Drosophila melanogaster: one gene and its partners. The protein of the gene in region 2 interacts with the protein of the main gene of each other region in a pairwise test. Each region holds a gene or a part of one and is shown on either strand. Other genes may lie near its edges. The genes, in order: CG15152, DCTN3-p24, CG5516 and CG7164.

Region 1 (2,942 bases), on a different chromosome or scaffold from region 2:
GAAAAATGCAAATGTGAAAATATTTAGAGAACTATTTCCATTGGGAACTGGCATAGTTGAAAATTCGTTGTATTTTTTCTTTTTCAAGTGAGAGTGGAAATAATTTTAATAATTTTGTGTGCCAAACACCGGCGCAGATGCGGTTTGTGACACTTCCTTTAATAAACAACAGCGTTAAATAATTGAATTTCCACTCTCCATCGCTAAGCCGCTATTAATGAATTTTTAATTAGCGTGCTTAATTTAATTAGTTAATTGATAAGGGAATCTTTTTTATGTACTTTGCTTTGTTAATCTCTGTGATGTATGGAGCTTTAATGTGTCACTACAACATTTGTCCTTTATACATCGACAAACAAAATGCGTATTTATTTTGCAGTTAAATGGCTTGAATTCGTGATTCTTTCGTTCACTTTTGTTTGCTTATCTCACACAAAGCCCTTTATCTGGCCACCTTGTTTCGCTCTCTAGATTACGTTCATTTATGGGCCGTAAATAATTAGTTAATTGAACCGGAATTATCGGAAAACGTTAAAAGCACTGTCTAGTCAAAAATAAAACACATGGATTATGGGATTTCTTTCTTTACTTTGAACTTATATTAAATCATGATTTTTTGTTCTTAGCGCCTAATCAGTAAAGCCGCTTCCTTTTTAGTTAAGCTTTGCATTTGCTAGCAGAACACAGTTCGATTGCCACTGTTTGAAAACAGAACGTAGCTCGTAAGTGCGATAACGCTCTAAATTAGTCACGACACGTACATATTATTTCACCGCACTTTTATAGACTGCACCTCCAGCCAAATCATCACAGCGGCTATAGCCACATATATAGCCACGATCATGAAGATCTGCAGGGGACTGGCGGTGAAAACTTGGACCACCAGCATCACGGTTCCCAGAATAAACACCCCGGACAGGAAGCTGACCATCAGTATGGTGGACCAGTTGCGAAACCAGGCGTGCTTTTTATCCGGCGGCGGTACAAAAATCGGTTTCAGCGGGCTGTACTCCTTCTTATACTGAGTCTCGTATCCGCTGGTAAAGTCAACCTCATCGTGGTACGTCCCCGGACCCGAGGTTCCAGCCTTAGTCTCATCCGTGTCCATTTCAAAACGCGTTCTGCTCTCGACTAAAGAGCGATTCGCTGGTCTCCGGGCATTTTCAGCGGTTTTTTCCTTCCCTCTTTTTCATGATTACCAATCAGTTTGGGGTCTGGGTTATTATCGCCACGGCAGAAGGTGGTAATTGAGGCAACAACAAGGCAAACAGTGAACCGTCAAGAGCTGACAATCTTCTTTTTGTTGCTTGTGACTCAGATAAGATAACTATATAAGTCTGAGAAAACCCGTCAAACGAGAGCGGAGAAGAGTCTCAAAATGACAAGAAAATCACATTGAAGTAAGAGATTGCGAAGAGAGATCAATTTGTTCTACGTTATCAATTTATGCTTACTTACGAATCATCAAACCCTATCAACTTTGATAACAATCTATTAAAAGCGATAAATGTTTTACATTCATATATTAGGCATTTCAGTACTTATATACTTCTGGCACTCTGTTTCCGTCTTGAGAGATTCTCTTTTTTGTCAGTTTCCCCGCTTTCAGCTATCTGAAGCTCCTTCTTCAGTTCCGTCGCCGGCTTTAAAGGCTCCTTCTTGCCTTGCCTAACCAAGCGACATTGAGGGCTTTCTTCGCCGTGTTTCGTTCTTTTCGACAAACAGCAGTGCTTTGCGGATCATTTAGCTTGAACAACCCACAATGCCACCAATTTCAGCGTATTTTTTACCTTTAGAGATCATGTTTTTAATCAAATTTCTTTTTTCGACGGTAAAATGCTTGCCGCGACCCATGACTAGAGAACTTTTGGTCTTCGTTTGGAAAAAATTCAATTAAAACCTTTAATACAACTCCTTTTTCAAAATTTGTCGAAAAAAACCCAAAGCAATCACTCTATTATTCAGCAAATACGTGGTCAGTGCTATTTTTGTTACCGCCTCATTTCGCGCACTTTTGCAGCAAGTGCCCAAAAACAAAAAGAACCTTTACATTGAGAGACCATAAATTTCTTGCTCAGAGAGCCAACATATGGTACTTATTATTCATGCAATCTGACTTTAAAAAATATAAACATTTAATAATTATTTTTAGGAAATGAACTTTCCACCTCCAGTAGTGCTATTATTTTAACCGCAGCTGTATATATTTCCGTCTTGAGAGGTTCTCTTTAATGTTGTCTCTTAGTTTCAGTCAAATTCTCTGAAAGCTTTGGTTTTTACTTACAAATACCCTTTCTAGGGTTCTTATGGTGAGTTTACTCCTCTCAGAAATTTTCTTAAATAATTATTTTATTAGTTCATATTTTTTCTTACACTAATTTTAGTTATTTATCTAATGAATGTACTTGTGATCTCAGACTTACTTTACAGATACCTCTTATATAGTTTTACTTAGGACGGTAGTCCCTTAAAAATTTGTCAATATATTATCATTTTTAATGGTGCAAGCTGCATACGATCCGAAAGATTTTAGTACAGTGTGCCTCCGTTCTTGAATTCGATTCCCTTGAATATTTTTTCATGTTTGCAGATGAGTGCCTTCATCCAGTTTATACAGAGCCTTCAAGCTGAAAAGATCAGAGTGCCTCCAAAAAAATGGGGTATAATACTTATTTGAAAGTATTTCAAAAGCATTAAAGTGATAATTTGTTTATTTAAAGTGAAGAAAAAGATGTCTTATTGGATAGAGATAGTTGCACCCTCAACGGAGTGGACCAAGAACAAACCGATGCGATTCATAACGACTCTAATATGGAAATATTAACTGAGGAAGACTCAAGGCCATATACTTTTTTGCAAAACTTTAATTTCGTTGGCTTATGTGTTCTTTATAATTTTTGCATGCTTTTAATTGTTCTGTCCATATACATCTACAAACGATG
Region 2 (3,731 bases):
TAAGATGCTGCTGATTCATCATAGTCTGTTGAAAACTTAACGAACAATGTATTTGTAAGTTTCAGAATTTTAATTCACAGATAAGTTACAAATATTTGAATCGTATAATATCCTATAAGGATATTAACATTTCCAGTACGTGTTGTCTACATCGAAAATACTGAATATCATTTTTTGATTATTTAGTCTTCATAAGACAGTTGTAAGTATTTATTTAATTTTTTTTGTGCATTAAATTAAATTCATTAAATTTTCAATTGTTTCCAGTGTACGTCATAATTAAGCTTATCTCGCAAACAGTATTTTGCCGCTAAGCACCTGCGGTCACACTTATTCGTGGAGCACCAGGAGAACGTAAACAAATGGAGCACGAGGTGGCTGTTTCAGGAGGGGATTCCTCGCTGGAGGAGATCACTGGCAGTTCGAAACTCAAGCCCTCCAAGAACACGGCCATCAAGTGCCTGAAATGCGACAAGGTGTACATATTTCCGTCAGATAAAGATGACTGCCTGGCGCATTTGTATATGGAGCACCGACTGGTCATCGCCGATGTGGAGGATATAGCGCTTCTGGAGGACTACCTCCAGTACTGGGAAAAGGAGTTTCACAGTGAGAGAATCAGCAACCCTACCCTGAAAATTTAATAATTGTTACCCATTTTAGCCCACGAATTCGAGCAATATTGCACCACAATGTTCCTGGATCAGCTGCCCGATGGCAAGTACGCCAAGAACGAAAAGTACTACCTGCTGTGTGACATCCTGCCCCAGGACTACGAGCTGCGGCGAAGGTTGAAGGAGAAGCGCCTAAGTGAAGCCCTGGAGCGACATCAGTTCGAGCTAACCGACCGCACCTTCTCCAAGGAGTGCCTTTTCTGCAGGGCCATCATCAAGGGATTGAGGGCGGACTATCTGGACCATCTGTTTGACAAGCACTTTCTGTTGGTCGGCAAGCCCGAGAAGCTGGTGTATGTGGACGAACTGCTGGATCACCTGGAGGAGAACTTGAATCGGTTAATGTGCCTCTACTGCGAGAAGATCTTCAGGGATCGGCCCACGCTCAAGGAACACATGCGCAAGAAGGGCCACAAGCGGATCAATCCGAACCGAAGGGAGTACGACAAGTACTTCCTTATCAACTACAATCGTGTACCAACGGCCCCCACGCCCCGGAAACAGCACCTCCAAAAGCGAAGACGGGAAACGGCATCCGTGTCCACAGTTGCTGATCCTGAAACCGGCAGCGTGGACTTCGACAAGCACTTCGCTCGCCCTGATTCGGATGGCGAACACGATTCGGACTGGTCGGATTGGGCGGCAGATGGTGAGCCTAGCTCCATTAAGTGCCTGTTTTGCCACCATCTCGGCGACAACTTCACCGCCCTCAAGAAGCACATGCACGAGGTTCATCGCTTGGATTTCGAGAAGGCCACCAGCTCTCTGAACTTCTACCAACGCGTCAAGGTGGTCAACTACCTGCGCCGCCAAATGTGCCTGCTGCGCTGCGTGACCTGCGATCTGCAGTTCGACGAGGAGGAGCTGCTCGTGGAGCACATGGCACAAGAGTCGCACCACGGAATCGGCGATAAGGAGAGCTGGGACAAGCCCGAGTTCTTCTTCCCGTACATCGAGAACGATGGTCTGCTGTGTGTGCTGGATGATTCCGGAGGCGATGACCCGGACGTCGATACGGTGCGCATCATCTCCGAGGATAGTCTGGCGCAGATCAACAAGGATGCGGAGCGGTTGTCCCTCGAGAATTTTAAGCTGTTGTAACTGAGATTTTTGTATTGTACAGTTTACGTTTAAAAGAAACTAAGTAAATAGCAATGGAATTTAAGTGTGTACTATATTTATAGATACGTATGCACCAAAAACTTTATGCAGAGGAGCTAAATATTTTATTTAAATACCATATTTTTTAGTCCGCATAAGGGTTAATTCGTTCTGCTTAGCGAGTACAAGAACCTTGCCACCAAGCTAACGTTGCCACCTTTTCGTTGGACATCGATTGTTTTGCAGACTGACATCATTCCCATCAAAACGAACAAAATAAAGAGAAATTCAGCGAAAAATGGAGGCACTGGACATTCTGGAGAAGCGCATCGATGCCCTGACACGAGTCCTGGGTCCGGTCCAGGACTCTGAGGTGGGCGAGGGCGTGGTCGACGCCCTGTGCTCGGCACACGCCATCCTGGGCGAAGCAACCACAGGAAGTGCTGCACTGCAGCAGTGCGTGAAGAGATCTGACGAGCTGGAGAAGTACCTGGACCCCAACTTCCTGGAGGAGCACCAGCAGGTGCGCTCCAAGGAGGTGTACCTGCAAGCCGTGGCCCCCGAGCTGCACACGCAGGCCGAGCAGCTGGAGAGGATTAAGCAGCTGGAACCGGCCCTGGGCGCGGAGTACTTCCGCAGCATTCCCGCCGAGTGTCTGGAGCAGCTAAAGGGCATAACGCAGAACAACGGGGAGTACGCGCAGCAGAGCGAACTTATCGAGGAGAGTCTGGTCCTGGCCATGAAGCGATATGGCGAGATCCAGGCGGGACTGCTGAGCTCCCTGGATGCCATGAGCGAGCGCTTGGACCAGGTAGAGGAGCGCATGGAGCAGAGGAAGCGTGCAGAGTTGAGCAAGGATGTGCCGCCCAAGGATTGAGCGGATATAGATCCAAAGACTGCTGAAAGTATTTTATACGACCCCGTTTCCAAATCCGTTCACCTGAAAATCTGGTTCCACTTAAGCTGAAGGCATCAGTTGCTCAAGCAATGGATGTAACCTAGGTTCTATTGAAAAGTGTAATCGTAGCTAAAGCCATCCCGATTTGATTGGAACTGTTTAAGGAAGCCGGGATATTAGATTTTCTAACTACTCCAACGTAAAGTGGCTAATGATGCTCTTTCAATTGTAAGTTTCATTTTTAAAAACTATTTAACTAAGCACAATAAACTAAATTACAAATCTAATGAAAACCAATCAAAATCCTGTCTTACAGAAGGAAAATGCTATAATCACATAATAGAGCACAATATGGATTTATCATTGGCTGAATTTTATTTTTATTATCTATACAATGTATACAATACGATGTGACACTTATGTATGTAGGAATTGTAGAAGGAAATAGTTACAAAATAATAATTTACCCGCGGAAACGCTCTTTCAACAGTAAATTTCCAATGCTAAAGTTTATATTGTCCGGACAATAAGAAACTTAGCCAGAATTAAAAGTAGTTGGCGCACCACAAGCCGAATCCAAAGGATATCCTCTTCACCAACATACAAGGCACAGTCTTGACTTTTCTTCTTCCCAAGAACAAAGTCCGGCGCTCCTAGAATCGCAGCTCGTTTCTAACTATCCTCTCGTATACGGATGGGGTGAGTGGAGCATACACGCCATCCGGTTGGGCGTAGAAGAGTTCATCGTCGATGATCTCCGGATTGAAGCCCTGCTGCTGAAGCTCCACCTTGCGCAACTTGAAGGTGCCCGTCAGGTCGATTTTGCGCAGGAATCTGAGAAACTGCGGCCTGGCGTAGTTGGGCAGGGATTTGGCCAGTTCCACGCCCAGCTGGCTGACGTTGACCTCCCGAGTGGGATCGTAGATGGCTGCCATTCCTGCTCTGCCCTCAGTGTTGGGTATGCTTACGCCGTACACAATCACATCCTTGTAGCCAGCCAGATTACTCAACTGCGCCTCCACCTCGCTGGTGGAGACATTCTCACCCTTCCAGCGGAA
Region 3 (3,009 bases), on a different chromosome or scaffold from region 2:
CCAGTGGCACGCCAATTAATAATTTACAATATTGCAATTGACTAAAATCTGTAAATCTCATAGGTGTCCCCATATTTGCAGGGCAAATACCCTCGGACTCGAAGCGGGGATTGGGATTGGCTTCGCTTTGCTTACGGCTAGTAACACAATTTCAATGATTTTTCGTTGCCCTTACACCTCGGAACACTTTGCTAGACATTAATGTGCTTTTAGTGGCGGGTCACCACCGGGGACTACGTCGATTTGGTTCGGAACGCTCGTATTGGATGCTCTTGAAGCGGCTACTTGCCTCCAGATGCAGCTGCTGCTGTTTCGGTTCCGGATGTCCACGAGTGACAATGTCTTTCCAAATCATGGTCAAAAGTATGAAGATAGCACCCACAATCTTGTTCAGAAACTCGATTAGTTTAAACACTATTGGAGTGGCTGTATGTGTGAAACGACTCAGCTCAAACAGGAATCGCACAGCAAATACGCCTAGGAATCGTAGCGCTAGTGCGGCTCCACCCAAGGCAGAGAAAATTAGTAGACCCAGAAACCGAATGGTGCCCAAAATGTTCCTCTTGTTGACATCGTTGGTCATGAAGTCGTACACGGTTTGTTTGACTCCATCACCCCACTGTTGCAGCACAGCCAAAAAATCATTAAGGCCCAGCTGAATTTGCTCCGCCACTTCATCCGGCTTGGAGGAGGAGTTTTCCCCACCCGCTGTGATCGCCTTAACAGGGCTACTTCTATTAAGAATCAGTGATCTCCTCGGCGTCGCCATCAGCTCTGGCTCCACGGGCCTTATCATCTTCAGTTTGAACTGGACTTCATGGTCCCGGAAGCGAAGGGTCTTGATGCTAAACCAATACTCTCCAAAAGCCAGATCATTCATCTCTGTCCAGATGCAGGTTTCCAGTTGACCAGGATCTGCTTTGTGCTGGTAACTTCCGTAACTCCCATAGGTGATGCCCACCCACATATTGGGCACGAAGCGTTGATAAAACTTTTGTAATTGGCCGGCACTCGAGTGCAGCAGCTTCTCCAACTCTCGCTCACTGCGTTGAAGCACCACCACGTCCCGGTAGCCGGACACCTGCTCCACCAAGCAGCGTTCCATATAATAACCGCGGAAGAGACGAGACTTGTAAAGCTGCTTGGTTAGTGCTTGCATGGCCAGTTCCTCGGGCGGCATATGACGTCCGCTCGCCTGTGGCATCAACGCGCTGTTGTCCATGGCTAGCTGTGTATGAAATCCTTTATTACTGGTCAGCAAATGACCTGCAGCAACCTTACCGATTGATAGTGATTGGACTTTGTTGCAACCACTTTCGCCGCTTAGTCAGCACAGCGCTTTTGTTATTGTTTGACCAAGCAATTTGTGCCAGTCAATTAAGGGTGAAATAGCTGTCAGCTGTTGCTTATTTCTTATTTTTTTTACGACCATGCATAATGCACTTAAATTTTGGCTTAATTAACTTTAAAATTCAGACATTTCAACATAAACCAGGTAGACACAAATTAGGCAAGCAGCTGTTGAGTTCGATAGCCGATAACAATAAGGGTGACCATACCATATACAGTCGATTTGCGAAGTATACAATTTTCAGTGGACTATCGCTAATGTGACGAAAAAAATTATAAAAAACATTTTTGATACTCATTTTTCCCAGTTTTTCCACCCGGCCACGTTGGTTTCCACCCACATCAAGATTTCCTCCCAACAGCGTCTGCTCGAGTGCTTCAGGATGACTTTGGTGGGCCTAGCTGCCCGCAAATTAGCGCAAAAGAAGAGGTTAGTCGCGTTTAAGAAGTACCCCAGCCGGCTTTTTTGTTGTAACCTACGAATTCTGTAACAACAGATCCGCAAAGCAAGCAGCAGACTTTCCCAATGGCATCCGGTGCCAGAAGTGCCTGCAGATCGGACACTGGAGCTATGAGTGCAAGGAGAAGCGCAAATACGTCCACCGGAGCTCGCGTACCAAGCAGCTAAGCAAGCGTATGTCCCAAAAGGAGGCTGACGCACCCAAGAACCAGGTGGAGGAGCACTCGGAAGTGGCTTCCTCGGAAGGAAAGAAGGTCCGTCGAAAGCGGAAAACGAGCAAGAGCTCCTCGTCCTCCTCCAGCTCGTCGGACAGCTCAGACAGCAGCAGCGAATCGGGCTCCTCATCCGAATCAGACTCGAGCAGCTCCAGTTCGGATTCGGACGACGAGGAAGGCAGCTCGTCAGACTCCAGTGGAAGTGGCTCGGACAGCGACAGCAGCGAGGATCAAAAGCAGGGAGCTCCACAAAAAAAGAAAAAACGAGCCGGGAGTTCACCTGAATCTTCTGACGATCAAGAGTAATCAAGAGACCGATTTGTGGTCTGTAGTATGTAGCTTTACTAGTTTAGTTTTCCCACACTTACACCGAAAATGAACATACTTTTGGTACTGTATTGTTTATATTTTAATGCTCCCAACATGTACGTTTTTCTGGTAAAGTTCCAGCCTTAATAACAATTTTAATCCGAGTCGACTTCCTCCTCGAAACGCCTCATTTGGCTTACGAGATCCAGATCTATTTGCTGGCTGTTGACGAGATGGGACTCCATCACAGTTGTGATTGGGGACTGCTCCACCGACAGATCTATGTGGAGGGGATCCCTTCCAGGGGAGCACTGCGTTTTTGGGTTCTGCTGGCCCACCACCTGAGACTTGAGATGCAGCTCCTCTACCTGTGGAACACTGAATTGGGAAAACCGTCATTGAAGCAAGAGATTTGTAGATACCTTTAGTGAATTTAATGCCTCCTGAATGACGGGGAGCACTCGGTCGAGTTTCTTCTGGATAGCAAATAGTTCAGCCTGCTCTTTTTGAAGGACTCGATTTGTTTGCAGCATTTTGAAAACAAATAATAAACTTTAACCTTAGAAAGACCCCTTTTTAATGAAGGCCTTATATGGTATACTTCCAATGGACAAGGAAATAAATGAATTGAATTTAGATTACTTATAAAAACTAAATGATGTTAAAAACATGAAA
Region 4 (3,664 bases), on a different chromosome or scaffold from region 2:
TTTTCAACGCACACATTTTCAAGGTTTTAATAATAATAGTGACTCGTGCGTGAATAAGAGAGAAATTAAGATTTTAAAAAAGAATAAAATTCAGAGATGTGATCTGTAAAAATTATTTACCAATTTTCATTTACCCCCGAAAGTGATGCTAATGGTTAAAACGGCATTTGCGACTTATCTCCTACGTAATATTGCAAAAATAAGGATTTGGTTAGATGAGTGTGAAGTAAACAAGATGCAAAGTTTTGGAGATAGAAAACATAGCCTTGAGTCTTGGTCATGTTTACTTGGCACCAGGCCGCGATTATCAGCGCTACTAGTCGTAATTTGAGTTAGACCTTTAATACTCTAAGTGAGAGTGATGATATACGATTTCCCAGCCACTTGCTTTCTACGAAATGCGCTAAAAAAAATCCCTAACTACACAAAGATTTGTGTTGTTATCCAGGTGTTCTGATATAAAAGGCGGCAAGGAAATTGATGGCATCATCAGTATCAAAGTGAGAGTGATTGCAGTCACAATGTTTGCCACGCCCCTCAGACAGCCAGCTGCGGCTAACCACCAGACCCCAAAGAATTCCGCCGGCATGGATGAGCATGGTAAGCCGTATCAGTACGAGATTACCGATCACGGATACGGCAAGGATGCGGTCAAGGTGCTGCATGTCAGCCGCAACGGACCCGTGCACGCCATCCAGGAATTCGAGGTGGGCACTCACCTGAAGTTGTACAGCAAAAAGGATTACTACCAGGGCAACAACTCGGACATCGTGGCCACCGATTCGCAGAAGAACACCGTCTATTTGCTGGCGAAAAAGCATGGCATTGAAAGTCCCGAGAAGTTTGCTCTGCTCCTGGCCAGGCACTTTATTAACAAATACTCGCACGTGGAGGAGGCGCACGTTCATGTGGAGGCGTATCCCTGGCAGCGAGTTTGCCAGGAGGAGACCAGGACCAACGTCAATGGGAAGTGCGAGAACGGAGTCCAAGGGAACTGCGACTTCAGCTCCATTGACAACAGATCACTGCACAATCACGCTTTTATATTCACGCCCACCGCTCTTCACTACTGCGATGTGGTTATAAGGAGAACAGGTTAAGTCAAACATAACTAAAGCAATAATATTTAAAACTACTAAATTATCACCTCCTTTACTGTTTTAGATCCCAAACAAACGGTCATCACGGGCATCAAGGGTCTCCGGGTGCTGAAGACGACCCAATCCTCGTTCGTGAACTTCGTGAACGATGAGTTCAGATCTCTGCCAGATCAGTATGATCGCATCTTTAGCACCGTGGTGGATTGCTCCTGGGAGTACTCCGATACCGAGAACTTGGACTTCCTCAGGGCCTGGCAAACGGTCAAAAACATAATCATTCGTAACTTTGCTGGCGATCCGCAGGTGGGCGTGTCCTCGCCCTCCGTTCAGCACACCCTGTATCTGAGTGAAAGACAGGTCCTGGATGTCCTGCCGCAGGTGTCGGTCATTTCGATGACCATGCCAAACAAGCACTACTTCAACTTCGATACGAAGCCCTTCCAGAAGATTGCACCCGGCGACAACAATGAAGTTTTCATCCCAGTGGACAAGCCACATGGCACCATCTATGCCCAATTGGCCCGGAAGAACATCAATAGTCACCTGTAGATCGATCTCTGATGTAGTAAATCTAAATCAATCTAAATCAATTTAGCCAATTCATAATTGCATGCGGCGAAGTTATATATGTATTTTAAATTATTTAAGCAAACGAATCATATGCTGCGTTCTTCTTATTTAAACAATAATAAACTAATAAAAAATAAAGTGTAAAAATGAATAAATCGATTGCAAAACCATATTTCGAGATCACCCTTGCCTTGGCTGAATAAATCCAAATTATATCAGAACTATTTTCTAAAATCCTAAAATGAGGCATCGTTCATAAAAAAAAATATATAAAATAAATTCCACAATTTTCGACCACTTTGGCAGTCAAAATTCGCAATCTAAATTCGAAATTAGCAAATAACCATTTAGCCACAAACAGCGTGACCATGACCAATCGACTGGCCTTGCACCACATCCTGACCACCCAGCTGCGAAGGGACTGGGAACAGGAGGAGAGCGCCAAGACCAGGCTGTCGCAGCTGTCCAGGAGGGACAGGATCAAGGCCTCGCTAAGATCGAGTCAGTTGCCAGGACGTTACCTGTTGCCCGACACCAGAAAGACCTACGACAATATGGTGGCCAATATTCACTCGACCATGAAGTGTAAGCTGTTGTGCTAAAAACTAACCAGAAACTTTCAAAACCAATCAATCATTTACTTAGCGGTACGAGCACCACGAAGACCACGGCCAACGGGGCCGCTGCCCACATCTGGAACTCCGAATCCAGTACCAGTAGTTGCACCACCACTGCCATCGAAACTGGTGTCCAAGCAACCGCAACGCAAGTCGGCGGGGCGCATCAAGGGTGGCGGCAACTCTTCGAAGGCGGACAGTGGCCATGGCATTGCCATCAAATCATTGGCGAAGGTCAAGGCCTGCATCAACCAGAAGCAGAAGAGATCGCGTGGCTTTGAGCAGCACAATCGCATCCGTGAAGTCATCCAACAGAAGAAAGTGCTGGAGACCATGTTGCAGCAGCACAAGAAGCTGCAAAGCGATCGACACACCATAGCGATGGATATCCAGCGAATGCGTGCCGATCTGGACAGGATTCGCAACAAGCTGGACACCTCGCTGCAGAGCCTCAACTCGACGCGCACCCTATTCAGTGCCGCCAACAAGGCGAGTCTCAGGAAGTCGACCGCCCTGCAGAAGCCGACGCAAAACATGGTGACCTCCACCAATCGCCGCTCGGGTGGCAAACGAAAGGCCCGGACCGTTGCCATTCCGATGAACCGGCAAAGTGTGCTGACCAACAAGGCCCCTATTCTCAAACGAAAAGTTCGGTGAAATGCAAAGTAAAAAATGAGAAAAAAAAATGATTTAAACTTCGGCAAAAAAAAAATTATTTTCAAAATAAGGCATAAACTACAATAATTGTTCTTTTCAGTAAAGTATTCTTTCACTTTACAAGCATAAGTACATAGAAAAATTTACTGATAAAATCTGTTACTGTTTAAATCTTTGACATTATAAAATAAATTTAAATTAACAAATTTACAATTTAATTAACAATTTTTTAGTTTAAATTCAAAGCCGTAAAAATCGATATGTTATCAATTGCTTTTAGTGTTGGAAAGCAAATGGCTAATATCAGCGAGACGTCTTACAATTCTCTGGACAAAAGGAACGGTCACACTGCTCATGGCGTCTGTTTTTCGCCAGCGGATTTTTGTTTTTAATTATTTTGCTTACCATTTTCACCGATTTGCCTAATTGTTCGACAACTGGGAGCCTAAGATGGGCTCCTCCAAGAAGCACAAGAAAAACAAGTCGGAGCGACGCGAGAAATATGAAGGTGAGTGAAATGAAAGTGCTGTGTCTACGTGAGCCCCTGTTGCCATAGGCCATCTCGCTCACACATTTTGCCGCTTGTTTTTGAGCATGCCTACACTTAGAAAAAAATGGGTGTACATTATTTGTCACAATTAATACAAAATGCATGGTTAGAAATAATCTACGCGTCTAAAGGCAGTAATAATACTATTCAGCACCCATTATAATACCTAT

Evidence for each region.
Region 1: the proteins of DCTN3-p24 (region 2) and CG15152 interact in a two-hybrid assay, tested with the Drosophila melanogaster proteins (one large-scale study listed by BioGRID).
Region 3: the proteins of DCTN3-p24 (region 2) and CG5516 interact in a two-hybrid assay, tested with the Drosophila melanogaster proteins (one large-scale study listed by BioGRID).
Region 4: the proteins of DCTN3-p24 (region 2) and CG7164 interact in a two-hybrid assay, tested with the Drosophila melanogaster proteins (one large-scale study listed by BioGRID).

The regions. Positions count from the first base shown.
Region 1 is NT_033779.5:18,112,849-18,115,790, reverse strand, and holds CG15152 (uncharacterized protein), read right to left. Parts: upstream 1,245-2,942; 5' UTR 1,109-1,244; coding exon 770-1,108; 3' UTR 571-769; downstream 1-570. Other genes in the region: CG44476 (uncharacterized protein), read left to right, coding at 2,656-2,660, 2,721-2,942.
Region 2 is NT_033778.4:23,060,853-23,064,583, reverse strand, and holds DCTN3-p24 (dynactin 3, p24 subunit), read left to right. Parts: upstream 1-1,990; 5' UTR 1,991-2,073; coding exon 2,074-2,652; 3' UTR 2,653-3,164; downstream 3,165-3,731. Other genes in the region: CG9890 (uncharacterized protein), read left to right, coding at 363-609, 664-1,775; Fatp2 (fatty acid transport protein 2), read right to left, coding at 3,327-3,731.
Region 3 is NT_033777.3:15,962,318-15,965,326, forward strand, and holds CG5516 (uncharacterized protein), read left to right. Parts: upstream 1-1,566; 5' UTR 1,567-1,733; coding exon 1,734-1,780; intron 1,781-1,847; coding exon 1,848-2,331; 3' UTR 2,332-2,444; downstream 2,445-3,009. Other genes in the region: CG4287 (uncharacterized protein), read right to left, coding at 221-1,222; CG32856 (uncharacterized protein), read right to left, coding at 2,490-2,702, 2,757-2,867.
Region 4 is NT_033779.5:7,779,597-7,783,260, forward strand, and holds CG7164 (uncharacterized protein), read left to right. Parts: upstream 1-1,868; 5' UTR 1,869-2,038; coding exon 2,039-2,255; intron 2,256-2,315; coding exon 2,316-2,944; 3' UTR 2,945-3,164; downstream 3,165-3,664. Other genes in the region: Uro (urate oxidase), read left to right, coding at 522-1,095, 1,165-1,649; Brd7-9 (bromodomain containing 7/9), read left to right, coding at 3,395-3,452.